Caenorhabditis elegans: one gene and its partners. The protein of the gene in region 1 interacts with the protein of each later gene in a biochemical or structural test. Each region holds a gene or a part of one and is shown in the gene's direction. Other genes may lie near its edges.

Region 1 (5,090 bases):
AGTTTATGAAACAAAATATTTCAGTAACTCACCTGAAACTGCGGATACAGCTAGAATAACTGCAGCTGCATAGAACATCACCATTCCTGCGTAGAAGCGCGAAATGATACAAATCAGCCGTTGACATGATAAACAAGTGATTGAAATAAGGCGATTTGGGTCAAGAGATGCATCCGTTCTTCACTCCTCTTCACTCTCTCACTTCTCATCCCTTCAAAATCTAGGCTTTTCCTCCAAATCTTTTGTTCGCTTTAAAAATGTTTTTCTTTCAGTCGCAAATGGAAATGAAGACAACCCGGCTGGCGCATACCTGTTCCTTCCCGATGGAGAAGCTAGAGAACTCAAAAAACAATCAAGTGATTGGATATTGGTAAAAGGAGAAGTTGTTCAAAAAGTGTTTGCAACTCCAAACAATGATCTGAAAATATTGCAAACGTACACACTTTATCAAGGGCTTCCATGGATTGATTTGGATAATGAAGTTGATGTACGTTCCAAGGAGAATTTCGAGTTGGCACTGAGATTCAGTTCTTCAGTAAATAGTGGTGATGAGTTTTTCACTGATCTCAATGGAATGCAAATGATAAAAAGGAGACGACAAACTAAATTACCAACACAGGCCAATTTCTATCCCATGTCTGCTGGTGTTTACATTGAAGACGATACTACCAGAATGTCAATTCATTCGGCACAGGCTCTCGGAGTTAGCAGTCTCTCGTCGGGACAAATTGAAATAATGCTTGATCGACGACTTAGTTCAGATGACAACAGAGGTCTTCAGCAAGGAGTTAGAGACAACAAACGAACAGTTGCACATTTCCGTATTGTTATTGAGCCGATGTCTTCATCGAGTGGTAATAAGAAGGAAGAACGAGTTGGATTCCATTCACATGTTGGTCATCTCGCTACGTGGTCTCTTCATTATCCTCTTGTCAAAATGATTGGAGATGCAACACCAAAATCTATTTCTTCGAAAAATGTGGAACAAGAGCTGAACTGTGACCTGCATCTAGTGACATTTAGGTGTTAAAAAATCTGAAATCTACAGTAACCCTCATCTTTAATCATTTTCAGAACACTGGCATCGCCGACAACTTACGAAGCCAACGAAAGATCTACGGCAGCTGAGAAGAAAGCAGCGATGGTGATGCATAGAGTTGTTCCAGACTGTAGATCCAGGCTTACCCTCCCAGACACGTCATGCTTAGCTACTGGATTAGAAATTGAGCCACTCAAATTGATCTCGACACTGAAGTCTGCGAAAAAAACGTCACTAACCAATCTTTATGAAGGAAACAAGGCTGAACAATTCCGACTCCAACCAAACGATATTTCCAGTATTCTTGTATCATTTTAATTTTATAATTGCTTATATGTAGTAGTTATATTTTCAGTTTTCATTACATTTCATGGGTATTTATTTATTAACTATAATCTTGTATAAGACGATGTAATTATGAAACAACGATTTCACACTTCCGGTTTTCATGTAAAATTTTTTTCGTTCCAAATAAATTGTTATAAAATTAATTACATCTTTCATCAAACTTCAAAAATGAAATTGCATTTTTAATAATTAGGAGTCTATTACGGAATTCATTAAATTTCAGAAAACAAAGTTAACTATATATTTCTCTAGTAGTTCCTTTCCCAGGAGACCCTTCCAAGATTTGTATCCACATGTTACCATAGTAACCACTCATTGCTTCTCGCTCACATTGTCTGCTCCCTCTCTTGGGGCTTATATCTCTTTCAAGCTATTACCTTCATTAGTATACATCTATGCCTCCATTTTCAGACGAAAAGATGACTGTAAGTATTAGATTTTAGTTTTCGCATTTTATTATTTCCATTTTCCAGAACCGGAGTATTGGGAGAAAAGTTCTGATTGATCAATCAAAACAGCAACAAATTAGTTTGATTAGTGGTTTTCGTGGTGTGGCAAGACATTTAAAAAGTGTTCTTACTGTTGAAATGTGAGCTTTTTTGGAATATTTAACATTTTATACATTAAATACATAGTTGAAAGATTTACGATTTATGATGAAAGAATACGATACCCGGTCTCGAAACGAATTAAAATCGGATCCTGCGAAGAAGCAGGTTTCTTGTATTTTTGTTTCTCATTTTCTTATTTTGAATTCTTTGGAATAAATATTCAAATTATACTGAACAAATTAAGCTGCTATTTAAAAAATAAAAAATAAAACGAAAAAAACAAAATATTGGAAACTACAGTACTCCTCGAAGTCGAGCAATCCTTTGCGCGGAATTGTTTTGCTCGCGTCGAGACCTGCTACCGTAATTTTTGCCAAATTTGAATTTCTCTCGCAGATAGATAATAATTTTTAAATTCAGAAACACAGAACCAATTAACTTAAATGGATTAGAAGATGTTCGGATGCTTATCATTCCACAACCAAAGACATCATTTGGAACTGGAGAGGTTTAGGATTTTAAATTTTATTAAATTTCATTTGATTGTCTCAGCCTAATTTTAACACCCAAAAAATTAAAATTTAAGATTGAAGCAATATGGAAGTTTGTGGAAGAAGGTGGTTCATTGATGATCCTTTCTGGTGAAGGTGGTGAGAGACAATCATTAAATGAAATGATTGCAAAATATGGAATTACTGTGAATAAGGGTATGTCTTTATCAAATTAAATGAATTACAAAAATCATCAACATTCAAGATTCGGTAATTCGTACTGTATTCCTGAAATATTTTGATCCGAAAGAAGCTTTAGTAGCAAATGGAGTCATAAATCGAGCAATTGCAGTGGCTGCAAAAAAGAATGTGAGCACTGAGCAAAAACATAATTCACAGTGAGTTGAACTATTAGCTTTTTATTTATTTAGGACAAAATTCGGTTTCCGATTTTCCAAAAATAAAAAAGTGATTTCAATATTTCAGAGCACTTTCATTCATTTATCCATATGGATGTACTCTAGATGTGAATAATCGTATGTCGAATGTAGTATTGTCTTCTGGAAGTACAAGTTTTCCAACAAGTCGCCCAGTTGCCGCTTTTCATGAGACAAAACTCAATGAAATGGTATTAGAATATTCTGAAATTGGTACATTAATTCATATTATTTTCAGAAAAAGAAAGGTAGAGTGTGTGTGGTTGGATCAGTCTCGATGTTTCATGACACATACATCGATAAGGAAGAAAATGGAAAGATTTTTGTAAGTGTATTTTTGATATGGTTCGAAATAAACTTCCCCGGTTGGTTGAGGCGTGCAGGATGCGCCTCCCACCCGCCTCTTAACTCGCCTTATTGGAAAATTTCAATTTCAGGATACATTTGTGGAATTCCTGGTCAATGGTCTTGAACTGAACACGATAGATGCTGCAGAGCCGGAAATTAATGATTACACAAATATTCCAGATCATATTCATATGTCCCAGCAGATCAAGGTTTGACTTCAAAAAATTATACTTTCTAGACAAACTAACAAACAGGTTTGTATGTACGAAGGAGAATTGGATCAGGCAATCAGTTCGGATTTCATGAAGATTATGGATACTTCGTTGCATTCTTTTAATTTGAAACATTGGCCAATGACTATAAGGTACTGTGCCCTAAATACTTTCCCCTGACTACAGAAATATGTTTGTTATTACTAAGAAAAAGATTCAAGAATCATGCTTTCGAAAATGGAAACACGGTTTTACCCAATCACCAACTTTGCGATGTTTTCCTGAAAATACGGTAGCTGGTCTCGACACGATCAAATTATTTACGAATAAAGTACGGAAAAGAGCGTGCGACTTTAACAACTACCGTAGTACCTCACTCTGTTTTCTAATAGTCAAAAGAGAATAATGAGTAGTGTCACACTACAGTACTGTTTAAATTTTTAGCATTTAAAGGCGCAAGTTTCCGCGTCCTTCTTTTGAAATTATTTCGATATTTGGAAAGAATATTAGAATGAAGTTTACAATAAGTTTTAGTGTAAAACATCATTTCTACTTGAATAAACATTTTTATTCTAGATTGTATGAAGCATTGAATCTTTCACCTCCACCACTTACCCTTGTTGAACCTCAATTTGAACTTCCAATGCCTCCATTTCAACCTGCAGTATTTCCACCAACATTTCAAGAATTACCAATGCCTCCTCTTGAATTATTTGATCTTGATGAACAGTTCAGCTCTCCGGAAATTCAACTTTCTCAGCTCGCAAATAGAAGTAAGAGTTTTTATTCAGAAAAAATAATAAATGGAATAGTTTCAGGCGAGGAAGAAGATCTCATATTCTTTATTGAAAAAGCTGGTGAAATTACTGGAATATCTGCTGAATTGACAAGAAGTGAACGAACCCCCAAGAAAATAATTGAGTTGGCAGTGAGCAAACTCATGTTATTCAAACGTTCAATGATGGATGGAGAGTTGGAAGTTGCATCAGCGTTCGATATTGGAGAGCATGATGCTCATCATCAAAGTTTTAATCAAGGCGAAGAGATGGACGAGCAGCTGTTCTCTGATATTGATGAGTTCGATGATTTGTGATTGATTTGTCTGGAGATAAGATAATAAAATATTCATGTTGAAAAAAAAACGTTTTGGATTTTAGTGGGCACAATTGAAACGATGAAAAATGACCCGATACGGAGAAGAAAATGGTTAAATGATTGGGATATCTAACAAGAAAACGGTAAGAAATTGGATGATTAAAGAATACACTGAATACCGGGTAACTTCAGGCGGTGGATGGGCGGGGCGTGATGAGGAGGAAGAATGTATGAACTGGGATGGTGATTAGATTTCAGTTTTTCATGACTATTCTTTTAGAGTTTAGAAAGCCTATGTATCAACTATAGGGTAAAACTAATTGAAATCTTAAAGTTTACTTAAATTTCTTAACGTAGACGTAATAACCAAGACCGGCAACTCCAGCAACTGCAGCTGCAGCAGCCACATTTCTGACGACGTCTGGATTATTGTGAATCCACGTGGCCAAATCGCTGGGTTCGCGTCCTTCTGGAACTTGCTTCGACTCTTCGACAACTGTGGCTTTTGTTGATGGAGCTTGGTGTGCAGAAGCTGGTGGAACAAACGATGGTTCATGTTCTGATTCTAA
Region 2 (7,827 bases), on another chromosome or scaffold:
ACAGGAAATGAATGCGTGTGAAATTACAATGGTCTAGTATTGTTTAATAAAGATGTTTTCAAGTTATTATGATAGTATTCGTACATCAACATATATAACATCTAATTTAAACTAAATTACATGCGAATTATCGTTGTAAGCACGCATTTTTTCAAAGGTGGAGTATGGCCAGTGGAGAAATAAATGAAACTCATTCATATGAGCTCAACATAATGTTGGAGAACAAATATTAAAAACAAAAATACAAACGGTAGGACGTAAAACAAGGAGAAAATATTTAGTTTGATTGCCGATTCCCGAAAAAATTGAGTTTTCACCACTATTTGTATCGGAAAAATTTCCAAAGTTTAAAAAAATTTTATTATGATATTTGGTCATTTTAGCATTGCATTGTTGTTTCAATCATTCACCCATTTGCAGTAGTCCACCTTTAAATGAAATAATCTGAGTTATGCAAAAATGTGTCGATTTTAAGTTTTTAAGTTAAAAAAATACCAATTCCAACGCCGGAAGAGTCAAAATGTATTTCACGTTTACTTTAGTATGATATTTTGATTTCATTTTGTTTCAACCGCTTTTATTAAATTAACAAATTTCGTATTCTAAAAACCTATGTTTAATTTGATTAGTTTTTATTTTATTTTTTGATGTCGTCATTGAATAGACGAATACGTAGTCTCTGACTGGTTTTTGAAGCAGAACCGATTAGTTGAACATTTGATGTGAAATATGTTCTAGTCATTGAATATAACAGATATGTTTGGAAATATATCAATGGAAAACAATTACATCAGCAAACACACGTCACAAACATTGTTTTCACATACATTTCTTAGCGTGAGCAGTGTCTGAAACAGCATCGACAAAAAGCTGTTAGCAATTAAACATAAGGGAATCAGAAGCAAGCAAACAAATAAACCTCAACATTTGTCTTAAAGTTGTAAATATTTATGTCGCCATGAAATTTTTTATATTTGTATGGTTTCTGTATAAATTTAAATCGACATTGAAGTTGACATGAATAAAATTTATTTTTCGGAATTCAGCTGTCCGAGCAAATTGTGTCTAGACGTTTACTCTTTGGAACTTTTTTTTTCTGATGTTTGATTTGAAAATGTTTCACAAATGTTGAATTTCCTAAAATATTATATTTTCAGGTGTAATTGTTGATTTTTTTATTAAAACGTCAAAGTGAGATGGGCTAATTATTTTTGTCTATATTATGAACAGATGGACCGGCTCAAAATACCCGAAACCAGAACTAATTATAAACTTCCGTTTCTCTCTGCAAATGACGCAGACCAAATGTATTCCATGCGAATCAGGTGGATGTGGGGGCATTCTCAGCACCACTATACGTTAACTAGAATCAAGATATTCGCAGCATGAGAGTTTTACTTCATTTTTTACGAGTGTGCAGTTAGCTTTAATTTTAGCTATATAAGTGTATTTTCAACGATGCAAGTTTTTAAAGTTATAGTTTTGAATCAAAAATGTTTACATTCTTAATATTATTGCAAGTATCCCTTTTTTTATCAGTTTGAATTATACTTGCATCTATTTGTCATAGAAATATATATGAAAAATGCCAATTTCCGAAACTCATATGCTCCCTACAAAACGACGAAACTTCTTTTGTTTTGACCAATATCCCTCCTTTCCTGCATTATTTTTCATTCTCCTCCAATACGTTGTTTATGCTTCACCTGCCTGTCCAACATAAACGAACTTTTGAGAAAATGAGCTTTCCGGGTCTCCATGGTTACTTGCCACACAAACCGCTTTCCGGGTAAAGACACCATTACTTGTTGCAGGGTCCCAAACATATCGGCATTTGTTTCATGTTAACTATGTCATCAGAAACCACGGCACCAATGATCATAAATGAAAAGTCATCGTTGCCAGTAAAATCAGAACCGGGGCAGCTTGGGAATCCAATCAGCGATGAATCTTCAGAAGATGAGCAGAGCCAAATAAGGGCTCTAGAGGAAGATCAGGTGAGTAAAATGGTTACAATAATTTTTTAAAACCATTTTGAAACATCAAAACATGTAAAAAACGTTTCATCAAAACATAACACGCTTCCCGATCTCTGTAATTATCCACACGTGACGAATTATTTCGCAATAATCCGCTCAAAAAGACAAAAAACTCTTAAGTTTACTTTTAAATGTCGAGATTCAATATGCACTCAATTATGATCGATTAAAACTTGTTTTGTTCAATGTTTTGTTTTTTGTTTAAAAAAAAACAACAAAAATTGACATTTTCTTCTTTTGCGCGTCTTGGAGTTTCTATAGCAACCGAGAAAACTGAAGACAATCGACGTGGATTGCTTGAGAAACAAAACGGGTTTGCCAGCTAACTCAATTGGATTGCCAGAGAAATAAGATTTGAGCAGAAAATTTTCGTTCTCAGGGTATCTACTACAACGAAGAAGTGGTTGCTTCGCCGAAAAACGAAAGCGACGACGATATTCCCTTACGCCGCATTCAACTGAGTCATCAGACATCTACTCAACAACATCCAGAAGATTCGGAACCGCAAGAAGTGATTGACGTCAACGATATTGAACTACCAGCAGGAGAAGCTCAACCAAACATGGAACGAAGAAGTATTGTAATTTTTTTATTCGGAACTGTTAAAATGTTGTAATTTAGGATCAGTTCGATTTAGTGGGCGTCATGATGAAGAAGAAGACGGGCGTAACAAGCATTTTCGAACTCCATCACCCGAAAGTCTTCGTTATATTCAGGTGACTCTATTCATTGAAGCTTTCATAAATCAGAAATAAAAGCACAGTGGTCGGTGCAAGAGAGCGGGTCTTTAGCTTAAGCCGTCTTTGTCCTCGTCCCCATGGTGAATATCCACAACAGCTTGAATGAACATTTTCCATTGCATTCAATGACGACACTATTGAGTTTGAGTAGAATTTAATCAAATTGAAATCAAATTGAAAATAATTTGAAAATTGTCGTTTTGATTCTTTAGATTTGGCTTGTAACATTTTTTTAGCAATGGATAATTTGGAGACGGATTAGTAATACTGATTTTCATAAATGCACAGTATCGTCAATGGAGAAATTGTTTAAAACCACTCATTTGTTGCTATAATGACCAAATATCATAGTAAAGTTTTTCCTTTTTTTAAATGTTTTTTGTGCAGTCGGAAAATGTTGAAAACTTAATGTTCACTTATCATAAATTTCGAAGTTGACCAAAAACTCAATTGTTTGTACTTGAACATTTTAGATGAACCTGTAGAATTGTTTGAAATCTTTCATAAATTCTTCAATATAACAATTTTTGGCAATTTACCAAAATACCAAAGCTACGTACATGTTGAAAAATCTGAAAACTTTTTCCTTAAAAGTTTTTCCTTTCCAAGAGCAAATTAGTTATTTATACATTACTGAACAAAAACAATTATTGATAACTGATTTTCATGATAAAAATGAAAAGATTAAGCTTCCAAGCATCTATGTACACTCAAATATCCTTGGATCTAATAGTAAGAAATATCATACGAATTTTGAAAACTGGAGTGTCATGATATTTGATTTCCATATCAGTGTTTTCAAAGGTGAAGTAAACTTTTACGAACACTCGTAATGTCACTCCAAATATCTTTTCAATTTTATGATCAACTTTACAAAATTTTTCAAAACAAACTAATGCAACTCCAAGATGCAAAATTTCAAGGAGTAGTCAACATATGCATTGTATTGTACGCAGTATTAAAGCTGCGTATTTCTCTGAAACAGTGAAAAATCGTTAAATACGTTATATTTGGTACCTTTTGACAAACTGAGTTTCCAATAACGAAAACCCTAAAAATTGCATATTCTGGGCATTGCTACAAAATGTTTCGTTTGTTGATTGTCTACCTTTGCTATGTCAATAGCGTCAGAAAATGAGAATGTCTCTTATTGATTCAAACATTTTCAATTATTTTTCTTTTGTGTGACGTTTTAACTTATCTAGAGTTCAAGCTTTCAGCTGCCGATTTATATCAAAACTTCCTTCAATTTCAGAAACTACGGCTTTGAATAAAATGCACTTTTATTTTTTTTCCAAGAAACTTACATGCGTCTCAAATAAAAAAAAAGTTTTTCTGATTTTTTTTTATTTCAGACGACAAACGTTTACTTGCAAGGTTTTCATTGTACCAACTTGGTGATATAACTTTGCTTTGCTTGTTGATCCGTCACCATTACACATAAATCTTAACATCCTCCGCTAAGTTCTAGACAGAACATTGTATCACAAACTGAAATTACTCTTTGAGGCATGAAATCTTAACAGCAAAAATTTTGAAACTTCATTCTCAATGTTTTCCAATACTCCCTTTGCATTTCGTATAATAATCGGCTTGTGAACAGCTTCATATTTTGTTTTCGCATTCACGTATTCACTACCATCTAATTTCCGCTCATAGTATGATAAATGTGAACAGATGAGCTTGAAAAAGCGTTGATATTCGTGGCTAGGTAGATGAAATATTAGTGAGCGCGTCTGTGTGTCTGTGTGTGTTCGGGCGTGTTTCTAAGCGCAAAACAAAGTTTTGAGAATATAGAGCTTGAAAGTGAGAGGAAAAACCTCAGGAAAACCTTGCTGATAGGAGCTACTATTTCCTCATTTATTCTAAATGTTCCTATACTAATTTTTTGTATTACTGGAAAACTGGGTAAATTTGTTTTTGCTTCCACTAATAACCTTTCAGGCATTGGAAAATCCAATGGCGGCAAACGGAGAGTTCGAAGAAGAGTTCAATGATTTGGCTGATCCACAAGGTATGATTTTAAAATGTGTGAAAACGGGCACAAAATACCAAACTACTTAATTAGGCTTCTCAGATTCCAAACAGATTTTATGAAAAGTTGAGGTTTTGAAAAAAACATAGAAATGTTGTATGTTTCTAACTTTGTCTAATTGTGTGCATCCCAACGGCTTGAAGTTAATTTGTAATTGAGTTTTTTCTCGGTTTTTTTTTTCATGTTACTTCGTTTATGTTCGCATTTTTCTGACGGTTTAATTATATATTTATAGCTAATAGGTTACTGAAACTCAGTAATTCTACCGGATCAAAATGTACCTCAATAAAAAAAATTAACATTGCTCCCGTAGTTTATAAAGTCAAAGACTTTGTGCACACCAAGGGTGGGCGGCTAATAGCCGAATTAGCCGAATTAGTTGACAGGCTAATTCGGTTAATTCGGCTAATATTAGCCGAATTAGCCGTTAGCCGAGTTTCAATTTAGCAGACATTAGCCGAATTAGCCGCATTATCCGTTTGGCTAATTCGGCTAACACAATGGAGCACGATTGCAATGTTTGCAAACAAATTTTTGTGGTTTAATTGCTTTCAGTGTGTTTTTTGTTTCTGTTACCAAATTAATTGTTGTTACTTACTTGATAACCCAAATTAGTGCAAAACTTGCTGAATCAACAAAAAAAATCTAAAACTGATAAAGTTAGCCGAATTAGCCGAATTTCAGCCGACCGGCAAACTCGGCTAATTTTAGCCGAGTTAGCCGTTAGCCGACTTTTTTCCCAATTGGCCGAATTAGCCGTTAGCCAAAAATTATGAAAACCGGCTTAAGCCGAATTAGCCGTTAGCCGAAAAACGATTAGCCGCTCACCCCTGGTGCACACGCTTCTAGAAAATAAATCTTCTCATGCGAAATGATTTCTTTTTTTTTTCTTAAATCTTAAAGTTGTTAAAGTTTTACCACTCAATTTTTAAGTTGTTTCCAGTGAAGAGAAAACAAAAAAAAACTAAGCCAACTCAGTTTTTAAAAAATTGGACGGTAATTTTCAGTAAGATCGCATTCAAATAATAGCAATGATTCAGCGAAAAAATTGGATAAAATATAGAATGTTCACTCTTCGTGGGAGCAAACGTTTGAGTTGATTCGGTTTTTTTTCAATCCTGTACATTGAATGCAGTCCAACGTTACAAAAATGTGATCCTTTTTTGTTTTTGTCTGTTAACATTTTGACAACAAAGAGCGTGAAACAAATGATAATCACTTATGCTTATGAGATACTCATGCGTATAGAGTGCCTCCATTGTTTCTTTTGCTGATTAAATTATCAGTTCGATCAATGAGCTTTGAATTGATTAGGCTTTTTTAAAGTTTTTCTATAATCTTAAATTTATAACCTAAAAGGTTATGAGTCTCAGACATTTTATTTATATGTTTCCTAGCCAAGTCTAAACATGTAGCAACTTTGCAAAAAATGTTTTCTCAATTTTTAGATGTTGTTTTTGGATATTAAATTCGGAACCAACAAAATTTTGTTTCAAGATAAAAAGAAAACGAATCACATCCTAATGTGAATCTTGGATTAAGTAATAATAACTGTTTTTGAATTTCATAGGCCTCCAATGTTTTTCTTAATCATTTTTTTGTAAACGAATCAACAAAAGTTAAGATTCTGCGCATGTTTCTTTAATATTCAAATATTCTAATTGCTGGTTTTTTCCTAAAACTAAACTTGTATGTAATTCATTTGAAAAATCATACAGGCATTGGAATTGAATAGTAACAAAAATTGGAAAACGACTGTGAATATATTAGAAAATTGTTAAATTAGTGTTTTTGAAAAAACTTTCGGCGGGTTTAAAGTATCACATAATTGCATTATAAATTCTTACAAAATCGCGTATCTTTATAACATACTCAATGACCTAATATGCTCTATGAAAACCTGAATTTAAAAAAAGCTATAAAAAGAAAGTTCATTGTATTTTACTTATAATCAATTTTTCACTGTTTATGCTTTTAGTGCAGCCACCACCAATGGGATCTCCACCCGCCTACACTAGCGCCGATGAAGGTCCCAAGACGCCGCCACCTAGGGCTTCAGCTGGATCGAGTCAGTCTCGTGCAACACTTCTTGACATTCAAAATAAAATTGCAGATATGAGGCAAGAATCTATGAACGAATTGATAATGAGAAAAATATCTGACCCCCTTCAAAATTTGATTCGCAGAGCAAGCCGCCTGGAGGACGACAGCAGCAACGACGATGATGATGATGACGACGATGAGGATGACGGTAAGGCTACACACGGAAAACATTCCACAACATATATATTTCGCATAAAGTCTACAGAGACCTCTGATAATTAATTAATATCCACAAAAACATAGACATAGGTCATACTCTGGAACAAATTATTTTCATTTTACTTGTTTTTCAAGAAATTTATCCGAAAAATAACTTTTTTTATCGTATTCTTTAGTTTAAACTAACATACATTTTATTTTCTGATAGTGAGTAGTTTTCAAAACATTTCAAGAAGATACTTTTGAGTGTACACGACTTTCTCAATTTAACAAGTGAAGCATAATAAGATAACATTTAAAAAAGAACATATTTTGTATATATTTCGCGACGCATTGTATCATGTTTGTGGAAACTTTTTAATCTCAAAAAAAGCAATCAAACAACATTTGAATCCGTTTCTTCGGGAAAATACTTATAGATTTATCATTTTTGACCAATAATTGTATTCTATCTGAAGTCTGCTTTCAGACTACACCGAAGACGAAATTGCGATTCTGACTTATATCGACGCGTATAAAACACAAGAAGTAGAGTTGCGCCCGCAATTACGCCCATTCACTATCGAATACATCCCAGCAATGGGCGATGTCGACCTATTCATCAAAGTGCCAAGGCCAGACGAGGTATGTCCGGAATTCATAGCTCACGCAAACATGTTTATATAACCAAGAATTTTAGATTGACGATAATGTGGGGCTCACGCAGATTGACGAGCCACCCAGCAACCAGAGCGACGCCACAATTGTCGAT
Region 3 (7,880 bases), on another chromosome or scaffold:
ACAAAAAATGCGCCGCTTTTTCGTGAAAAACACTTCTCAAAAAAATTTCAATAAAATATTATACCAGTTCAAAAATTTGAAAAAACAAATGTGGCCCAATTTTGGCCACTTTTCCGTGTCTCAGCGGTCCGAAGTTAACTTTTTTATGAATAATTATCTTTTATTGCATATTTTGCTTTTTTATCTCTATTATTTCGTTGATTAGAGGTGGAGTAAATTTTAAAAATGTTCTTGTTTCAAACAATAGAAAATGAATCATAATGACAAAGAAAAACTGTAACAAAAAGATAAAAAATTTCTAATCTATTTTTGGATTTTTAAATTTGCAAAAATCAAAGAAACGTCGGAATTAAATTTAAACTCTCGCGCAAATGAGTGACGTCATTTTTAGACCTTTTTACGTTTCCTGCCTTCAGCGATTTTTCATGGTTTTTTTCCAATATTTGATTTAAACATCGTTGTCAATTTTTTAAAGATATTTACCCTCAAAAGTTAGAATTAAAATTATATTATATATTGTCGATTTTTAGGCCAATTTTAAAATTTCCGCAAATTTCTATCCAAAGTTCTCTTCACGGAAAAATGCTTGAAAATTGACGAACAGTGATACAATATTTCAAAAATTTCAAAAAGATACAATATTTCAAAAATTAAGAAAAATCGATGAATTTAGCCAAAAAAACGCGAAATTATCAAAAATGATGTCACTCATTTGCGCGGGAGTTAAAATTTAATTCGGTCGTTTCTTTAATTTTTGCAAAATTGAAAAAATCATAAGAAATTCAAAAAAAAAATTTTACAGTAGTATTCAGGTAGTACGGTCCATTCTTAGGACCACTGCGACACAAAAATTGGCCTAAATTAAAGCTAAAATTATTCCTTTTTTTAATTCGAAACTGCCATAAAAAAATTTGAAAACGAGTTTGTTGAGAAGTTTCATTACGAAATTTGTTTATTTGAGCACATTTTGAGTTTATATGCTTCAAATACTCAGAACCGTTACTCCTATAAATATAATTCTCGCAACATTTTAAAACTTATATCTGGTCTCAGGGCTTATCAAAGATTCAACAACTGCCTCGGAGGGAGCTACATCAAACAAGCCTGCTATCCGCACGAACCGCTAAAGTCTCGCTATTCCGTTGTCGATTCAGTCTTGGATTATGTTTGTGGAGAAGGATATCAATGTATGACTTAGGAAAATTATCCTGTAAAGCGTAGAATTTGGAAAATTTTCAGCAATGCTCAACAACTGGAATTGCTACTTGTCTGTTGCGGAAAGCAGGGAGATTGCAATGTGTGAAGCAAGTTTCACACAATTGGCAAGAAACACTGAACAAATGTACAATGATTATTCGTCAGGAGCCGGAGCATGCTTGTGAGCTTTCATATTATAGATTTAATTGACAACTGACAAAAATGGCTTTCAGTGCACTTCAATCATATACCGACTGCATTCGTCCTGCAATTGAAACAACCTGTGGACTTGGCTCTTTTCTGACAGTTATCCAAGCAGTTGAACGGCCAATTCAAATTTACCTTCCATTCTGTACACTTTCTTCGTCCGCGATCTCATTTGTTCAATCAATCATAATTTCTCTTGCTGTTTTCTTGTTTTGCCTATAATTTATTGTTTTGAAATTGAAAGACTCGAACCCCATAACTTAATATTGTCATTGAAAACCCCTCAGACCTATACATGTATAAACTATTGCATCTCATTCGGTGTTACACTCTCTCTCTTGCTTACATAGTTACTATGGCAACGCTCCGCTAGCTTGACGAAAATTGTTTTCTCTTGGGTGCCATGGCAACCAGAACACCAAGCAGCGCACTCTTCTCTATTTCTTCTGAGAACACTTTTCTTAATGGCGAACAGCACTTTTCGTGAAGATGATGACGATTTTTACGGCGGTTTTGATTCGTATGATAAAGCATATGATATTCAGGTTTGATAATAATTTAAAAATGAATAAGAGTCTATGATTTTTTGCTATAAATGATAGTATTACTGTACAACAATTTAAACATTTTTTTCTAAATTTTTAAATATTTTTTTCAATTTTGCAAAAACCAAAGAAACGCCCAATATGATTATAAATTTCCGCTCAAATGAGTGACGTCACCTTGGTTTTTCTTCATTGTTCTTTTATATCTCATTTGAAACTTTATTTACCAATTTTAAGAGCATTTTTCCGACAAAAAAATTGTATGTCAATTTTTAGGTCAATTTTGAAATTTCCGCCAACCGGGTTTCAAATAAAATATAGCAGAAAGTATCTGAAAAACATAAATATTTACCCGAAAACGCAAAAATATCAAAAATGACGTCAACTTTTCCGCGCGAATATTAAAATTCAAATGAGACGTTTCTTTGATTTTTGAAAAATTGAAAAAAAAAGAATCAAAAATTAAGGAACATTTGACCCATTTTTTATAGTTACATTTGGCTATTAGGGCCTATTTTTTATCATTTCAAGCAAAATTTCTAAATGATTCTACTCCTCCTGTAAATACGCAATAATAAATGTGTTTAATTCAGAACATAACTCAAAATCCACAATTTCAACAAGCCGTTGCTAGGTCGAGCCATGGAAGGCGTCCGGTGAGTGACAATTGGAAAATAAACTGTTTTGTATAGTAATTAGAAATTTTTTACCTTAAAGAGAAAAATTTTTAAAACTTCAATCAAAGGAGAAATTGAGTTTGTGTGTTATTTTGCTTAAAAAATACTAAAACTGACTAAATTTTATGATTAAACTTTTTTTTCTAAAAAATTTTTCCGATTGGTAAATTTTACCTTGCTGCTCCGGTCCGAAACAGTTTTAAAAAAATCATCAGCAAAAAAAAAAAAAAAAAAAATTTCGGGCAAAGTTGACCTTTTTTTGACTTTTAAAATCTTTGAAATTTTTTTGAAAATTTTTATTACAATTTATTACAATCTTTTTCTAAGACTGCATCTCAAATGGGATTCCGAGATGCTTCCTCCTCTTATGGAAAACCGCCGGGAACGATGATGGGAAGTGAGTAACCAACTACATTTTTTTTTTGCAATCAGGATCCGTTCTTTTCAGATCAAAGTCGAATGGGCGGTCGAACAGCCATGGCTAACAACAATGAACCTGCGAGACCGATGACCGCTGTCCGCGGAGCCGGATATACATCCTTTGCAAATAAAGGTGACATCCGCACCGTCCTAAACTATTTGTTCACAGTCACTTTTTTTCAGTTCAAGCCGCAGAAAGACCACTAAGTACCGAGAACTCGGGTGAAAAGTAAGAATATATAGTTGCGAAATTTAGTTGAAAAATCATGTAACTTGTAGTGGTGAAGAAAAATGTCGGCAGATGGAAAACAAAGTAATGGAAATGCTCCGAGAAAGTATGCTGGCTAGTGAGAAGAAAAAGTTCAAAGAAGCGCTGGATAAAGCGAAGGAAGCTGGGCGACGTGAAAGAGCAGTTGTGAAGCACAGGGAGCAACAGGGATTGGTAGAGATGATGAATTTGGATCTAACTTTCACCGTGTTGTTCAACTTGGCTCAGCAATATGAAGCGAATGATATGACTAATGAAGCGCTAAACACTTATGAAATCATTGTAAGGAACAAAATGTTCCCAAATTCTGGGAGACTAAAGGTAAATATAAAAGTTTTTCTTAAGGATATGTATGTCCTAACAAAATTTTGGGCTGCAAAGTTCCACCCATCCAAATTGTGATATGAAATTGTTTCAGTGCATTTTTAATACTTTCAAGTTCTTTAGAATTGCTCCAAATGCTTTTTCTGCATACTTTTAATAATTTTCAAATTGGTTAGATGTTGGTAAAGATTCTGAAATGTTTTGGAAATTTCCAGTTTTTTTAAAGAGTCAAAATTTCTTAAAATCTCCTAGTATATAAAAACAGCGTTTGGAGCAATTCTACAAAGCTTGAAAATATTAGAAATTGTGCTGAAGCAATTTCAGATCAACATTTGAAGGGTTGAGCATTAACAGTAAAGTAAAATTTTTTCATTATTTTGACTAAGCTTAATATATATTTTTTCAGGTTAATATTGGAAATATTCATTTCCGCAAACGTGAATTCACAAAAGCTTTGAAATACTACAGGATGGCTTTAGATCAAGTTCCGAGTATTCAAAAAGATACAAGAATTAAAATTCTCAACAATATTGGTGTAACTTTTGTCAGAATGGGAAGTTATGACGATGCCATAAGCACTTTTGATCATTGTGTGGAAGAAAATCCGAATTTTATTACAGCCCTCAACTTGAGTAGGTTATCACTAGAAATTTGATTTTTTTTAATGTTATTTTACAGTATTGGTAGCATTTTGCATACAAGACGCAGAAAAAATGAGAGAAGCATTTGTGAAAATGATTGATATTCCTGGGTTTCCGGATGATGACTACATGAAAGAGAAAGATGATGATGATGTTTTGTTGAATCAGACCTTGAACTCGGATATGCTGAAAAACTGGGAGAAACGGAACAAGTCGGATGCTGAAAAAGCAATCATTACTGCAGTGAAGATTATTAGCCCGGTTATTGCTCCTGAGTGAGTTTTGAATGTCAGGAAAATACAGAGTAAGATGACAAAAAACAATTGAAAATTTTTTTGTCGGTTGTTAAAAATTTTCAACTGAATTTGTGTCGAAAATTCTAGTTTTTTTTTAAACAAAAAAAACCAAGTGAAAATATTTTTACACTTACAAAAAATTCAGGATAGAAATCATACTTTTTTTTGATAATTTCGAGATCGAATATTCAAACCCAAATTTTTTGTATGTGCAAAAATAGTTTGCACTTGGTTAGGCACAATATTTTTGGCAACCGACAGAAAATGGTTTGAACGAATTTCTTTCAAAATCTTTTTGTATTATTAGTTGGTATTATGTTGTCCTTCCGGTTGCGTAATTCCGTTATATAAAAGTTTTTGATATACATAAGTAAAAAGATAAATAAATAGAAATCTTCCAGCTACGCTATCGGCTATGAATGGTGCCTTGAATCTCTCAAGCAGTCTGTACACGCACCATTGGCAATTGAACTTGAAATGACAAAAGCTGGTGAGCTGATGAAAAACGGAGATATTGAGGGAGCAATCGAAGTGCTGAAAGTTTTTAATTCGCAAGATTCCAAAACAGCCAGTGCGGCTGCAAACAATCTTTGTATGCTGAGATTTTTGGTAAGTTGAAAGTGGAGTATAGAAATTGTTAAAACCAGTTATATGGTGCCAAAATGACCAAATATCAATGTGAAATTTTTTTAATTCATGAAAATTCTTATTAACAGTCTTATTAACAGAAAAAGTTGCAAAAAGATTTGAGATTTCTCCAATTTTTCAATTTTCAAAAAATCATATAAAATTTAGATTTTTTTTTTGGAATTTTCGCATTTTGATAATTGGTCATAGTGGTGTCATAGTCATGTCATAATCATGTTTTAATGCAATTTCAATTTCCCACCGGCACTTCTCTACCTCATTTTTGCATATTTCAACTTGCAGCAAGGAGGACGCCGTCTAGTAGATGCACAGCAATATGCTGACCAGGCACTTTCAATTGACCGCTATAATGCGCATGCTCAAGTCAACCAAGGCAACATTGCGTACATGAACGGCGATTTGGACAAAGCTTTGAATAATTATCGAGAGGCGTTGAACAATGACGCTAGTTGTGTTCAAGCATTGTTCAATATTGGACTAACTGCAAAAGCGCAAGGCAACCTGGAGCAGGCACTTGAATTTTTCTACAAACTTCATGGAATCCTTCTGAATAATGTACAAGTGCTAGTGCAATTGGCTTCTATGTAAAACAGAAACGTTATGAGTGTTGAAACAAAATTGTTACTTTAGATACGAGTCATTGGAAGATTCTGCACAAGCAATCGAGCTGTATAGTCAGGCAAACAGTTTGGTTCCAAATGACCCTGCAATCCTTTCCAAGCTGGCGGATTTGTATGATCAAGAAGGTGACAAGTCTCAAGCATTCCAATGTCATTATGACGTCAGTTTGTATAATTGAATATTATGGGACCGAATAAATTCCGGGTCAAAAAAATCATAACTTTTTTCGCTGCTTATTGATTTTTCTAAAACTGTAAGAATTTATGGTATTAAAGATGATTTTTCATTTGACGGTTATTTCAAATAGGTTTTACCACCCAAGTGTCCCTACCCGGAGCCACTTCTGTTCAGTTCATAACTGAGGTTTATAATAGGATTTTTCAAAGTTGTAAGTCTCAAGTCTTATGGGGAAGTAATGTTACAAAATCTATTTTAATACATTTATGGCGTCACAACTGTATTAAAATACATTTTTTTTATGTATTTTAATACAGTTCTGACGTCATTTTTTTCACTTTTTTAAATTTCCGACACTTTTTGTATAAGTTTTTGAAAAAAAAATGCTTTCAACAAAAAAAAATTTTTTTGTTGAAAATTCATGATTTTTTTTACAAAATTGTTGCAACCTAGTGTAAACTATTTTATTTTTGATTTAAAAATTTTTCTCGAAAAATTCTCAAAAAACTCAAAAAGAGCTCGAAAAAATCATATTTTCAATATCCATTTGAGTAAGACATATTGAACTCGGATGTTTTGTATGTGTAAAATTAGTTTAAATTTGGTTGCATCATTTTTTGAATAAAAAATCAATAAATTTATATTTTAAAAAATTCCTGAAAATTTTTTTAACGACTTTTTTGAAACTTTTATACTTTCAGTGTGTTCTTACAATTTATTTCGAATTAATCAAAATCCGCCTTAATTCCTTAGTCAAAAACTAAAAAGGAGCAAAAAGTGGCTCCGAATAGTTTTAGAAAAATTGATCAGCAGCAAAAAAAGTTATGTACTATAACCAGGAACTTATTTAAACCCATAATATAAAATATCCGACTTATGGTTTTTCAGAGCTATCGATATTTTCCATCAAACCTGGAAACCGTTGAATGGCTGGCTTCTTATTATTTAGAAACTCAGTTTTCTGAGAAATCCATCAACTACTTGGAGAAGGCTGCCCTGATGCAGTAAGTACTTAATTTCTAATGTTTCGTAACATTAGTCTTGCGTCATGATGAATAAAATTATGAATAATGTGCGCTTCAGGCCAAACGTTTCAAAATGGCAAATGATGATAGCCAGTTGCCTACGACGGACAGGCAATTACCAAAGAGCTTTCGAGCTTTATCGTCAGATTCATCGCAAGTTCCCTCAAGACCTCGACTGCCTCAAATTCTTGGTTCGAATTGCCGGTGATCTTGGAATGACGGAATACAAGGAGTACAAGGATAAACTGGAAAAGGCTGAAAAGTAATATAAACATGCAAATAGAGAAAATTTCAAAACAAGCGAGTTATAGAATCAATCAACTCCGTCTACAACGGGAAAGTGATTCAAGCCAAGGAAAACGTCACTCTGCAAATTCAACGCATTCCCTTCCCCCATCCGGCCTGACCGGTTTGGGATCGGGGTCAGGTGGTTCGAGTGGTGGTGGCACCCGTCAATACAGTGCACATGTTCCTCTTTTGCTGGATAGTGGCACCCCGTTCACGGTGGCCCAACGAGATATGAGTAAGGGCAATGGAGTTAGAGAGTATAGATTAGAGAGAGTATAGATTAGAGAGAGTATAGATTAGAGAGAGTATAGATTAGAGAGAGTATAGATTAGAGAGAGTATAGATTAGAGAGAGAGAGAGAGAGAGAGAGAGAGAGAGAATCAAGGGGTGCGCGGCAATTGCCGACCGTCAATTCAACAAAATGAACCAGTGCGGAATGTTTTCTCAAACTAGGGCTGTGCAAATCGGCGTCGTCCGATTTTGACACCACCGAACGCACATGCATCCGGTTTGGGGTAGGTTTCCACGGCGGCCGACAATTTCCGA

The links.
Region 2: the proteins of osm-6 (region 1) and dyf-6 form a complex in vitro, tested with the Caenorhabditis elegans proteins (one study listed by BioGRID).
Region 3: the proteins of osm-6 (region 1) and osm-5 form a complex in vitro, tested with the Caenorhabditis elegans proteins (one study listed by BioGRID).

Annotation. Positions count from the first base shown.
Region 1 is NC_003283.11:11,924,099-11,929,188, reverse strand, and holds osm-6 (Intraflagellar transport protein 52 C-terminal domain-containing protein), read left to right. Parts: upstream 1-1,742; 5' UTR 1,743-1,782; coding exon 1,783-1,812; intron 1,813-1,860; coding exon 1,861-1,976; intron 1,977-2,358; coding exon 2,359-2,446; intron 2,447-2,524; coding exon 2,525-2,645; intron 2,646-2,694; coding exon 2,695-2,827; intron 2,828-2,915; coding exon 2,916-3,057; intron 3,058-3,104; coding exon 3,105-3,191; intron 3,192-3,303; coding exon 3,304-3,423; intron 3,424-3,468; coding exon 3,469-3,578; intron 3,579-4,002; coding exon 4,003-4,199; intron 4,200-4,244; coding exon 4,245-4,519; 3' UTR 4,520-4,568; downstream 4,569-5,090. Other genes in the region: F58H1.2 (uncharacterized protein), read right to left, coding at 33-84; aman-2 (Alpha-mannosidase), read left to right, coding at 273-1,023, 1,075-1,357; R31.2 (ANK_REP_REGION domain-containing protein), read right to left, coding at 4,857-5,090.
Region 2 is NC_003284.9:10,380,482-10,388,308, reverse strand, and holds the start of dyf-6 (Intraflagellar transport protein 46 homolog), read left to right. Parts: upstream 1-1,800; 5' UTR 1,801-1,850; coding exon 1,851-1,997; intron 1,998-2,418; coding exon 2,419-2,614; intron 2,615-2,660; coding exon 2,661-2,755; coding exon of another isoform or gene 2,756-2,794; exon of another isoform or gene 2,795-3,300; intron 3,301-4,723; coding exon 4,724-4,793; intron 4,794-6,792; coding exon 6,793-6,882; intron 6,883-6,927; coding exon 6,928-7,065; intron 7,066-7,545; coding exon 7,546-7,700; intron 7,701-7,755; coding exon 7,756-7,827. UniProt on the Caenorhabditis elegans protein: Component of the intraflagellar transport (IFT) complex B required for transport of proteins in the motile cilium. May be required for ciliary entrance and transport of specific ciliary cargo proteins such as che-3 which are related to motility.
Region 3 is NC_003284.9:2,982,410-2,990,289, forward strand, and holds the start of osm-5 (Intraflagellar transport protein 88 homolog), read left to right. Parts: upstream 1-1,853; 5' UTR 1,854-1,868; coding exon 1,869-1,949; intron 1,950-2,542; coding exon 2,543-2,605; intron 2,606-2,953; coding exon 2,954-3,023; intron 3,024-3,074; coding exon 3,075-3,179; intron 3,180-3,229; coding exon 3,230-3,275; intron 3,276-3,325; coding exon 3,326-3,635; intron 3,636-4,044; coding exon 4,045-4,270; intron 4,271-4,316; coding exon 4,317-4,554; intron 4,555-4,976; coding exon 4,977-5,184; intron 5,185-5,505; coding exon 5,506-5,807; intron 5,808-5,853; coding exon 5,854-6,004; intron 6,005-6,909; coding exon 6,910-7,025; intron 7,026-7,104; coding exon 7,105-7,308; intron 7,309-7,357; coding exon 7,358-7,569; intron 7,570-7,717; exon of another isoform or gene 7,718-7,819; intron 7,820-7,880. Other genes in the region: nspg-5 (DUF19 domain-containing protein), read left to right, coding at 1,054-1,187, 1,240-1,378, 1,431-1,626.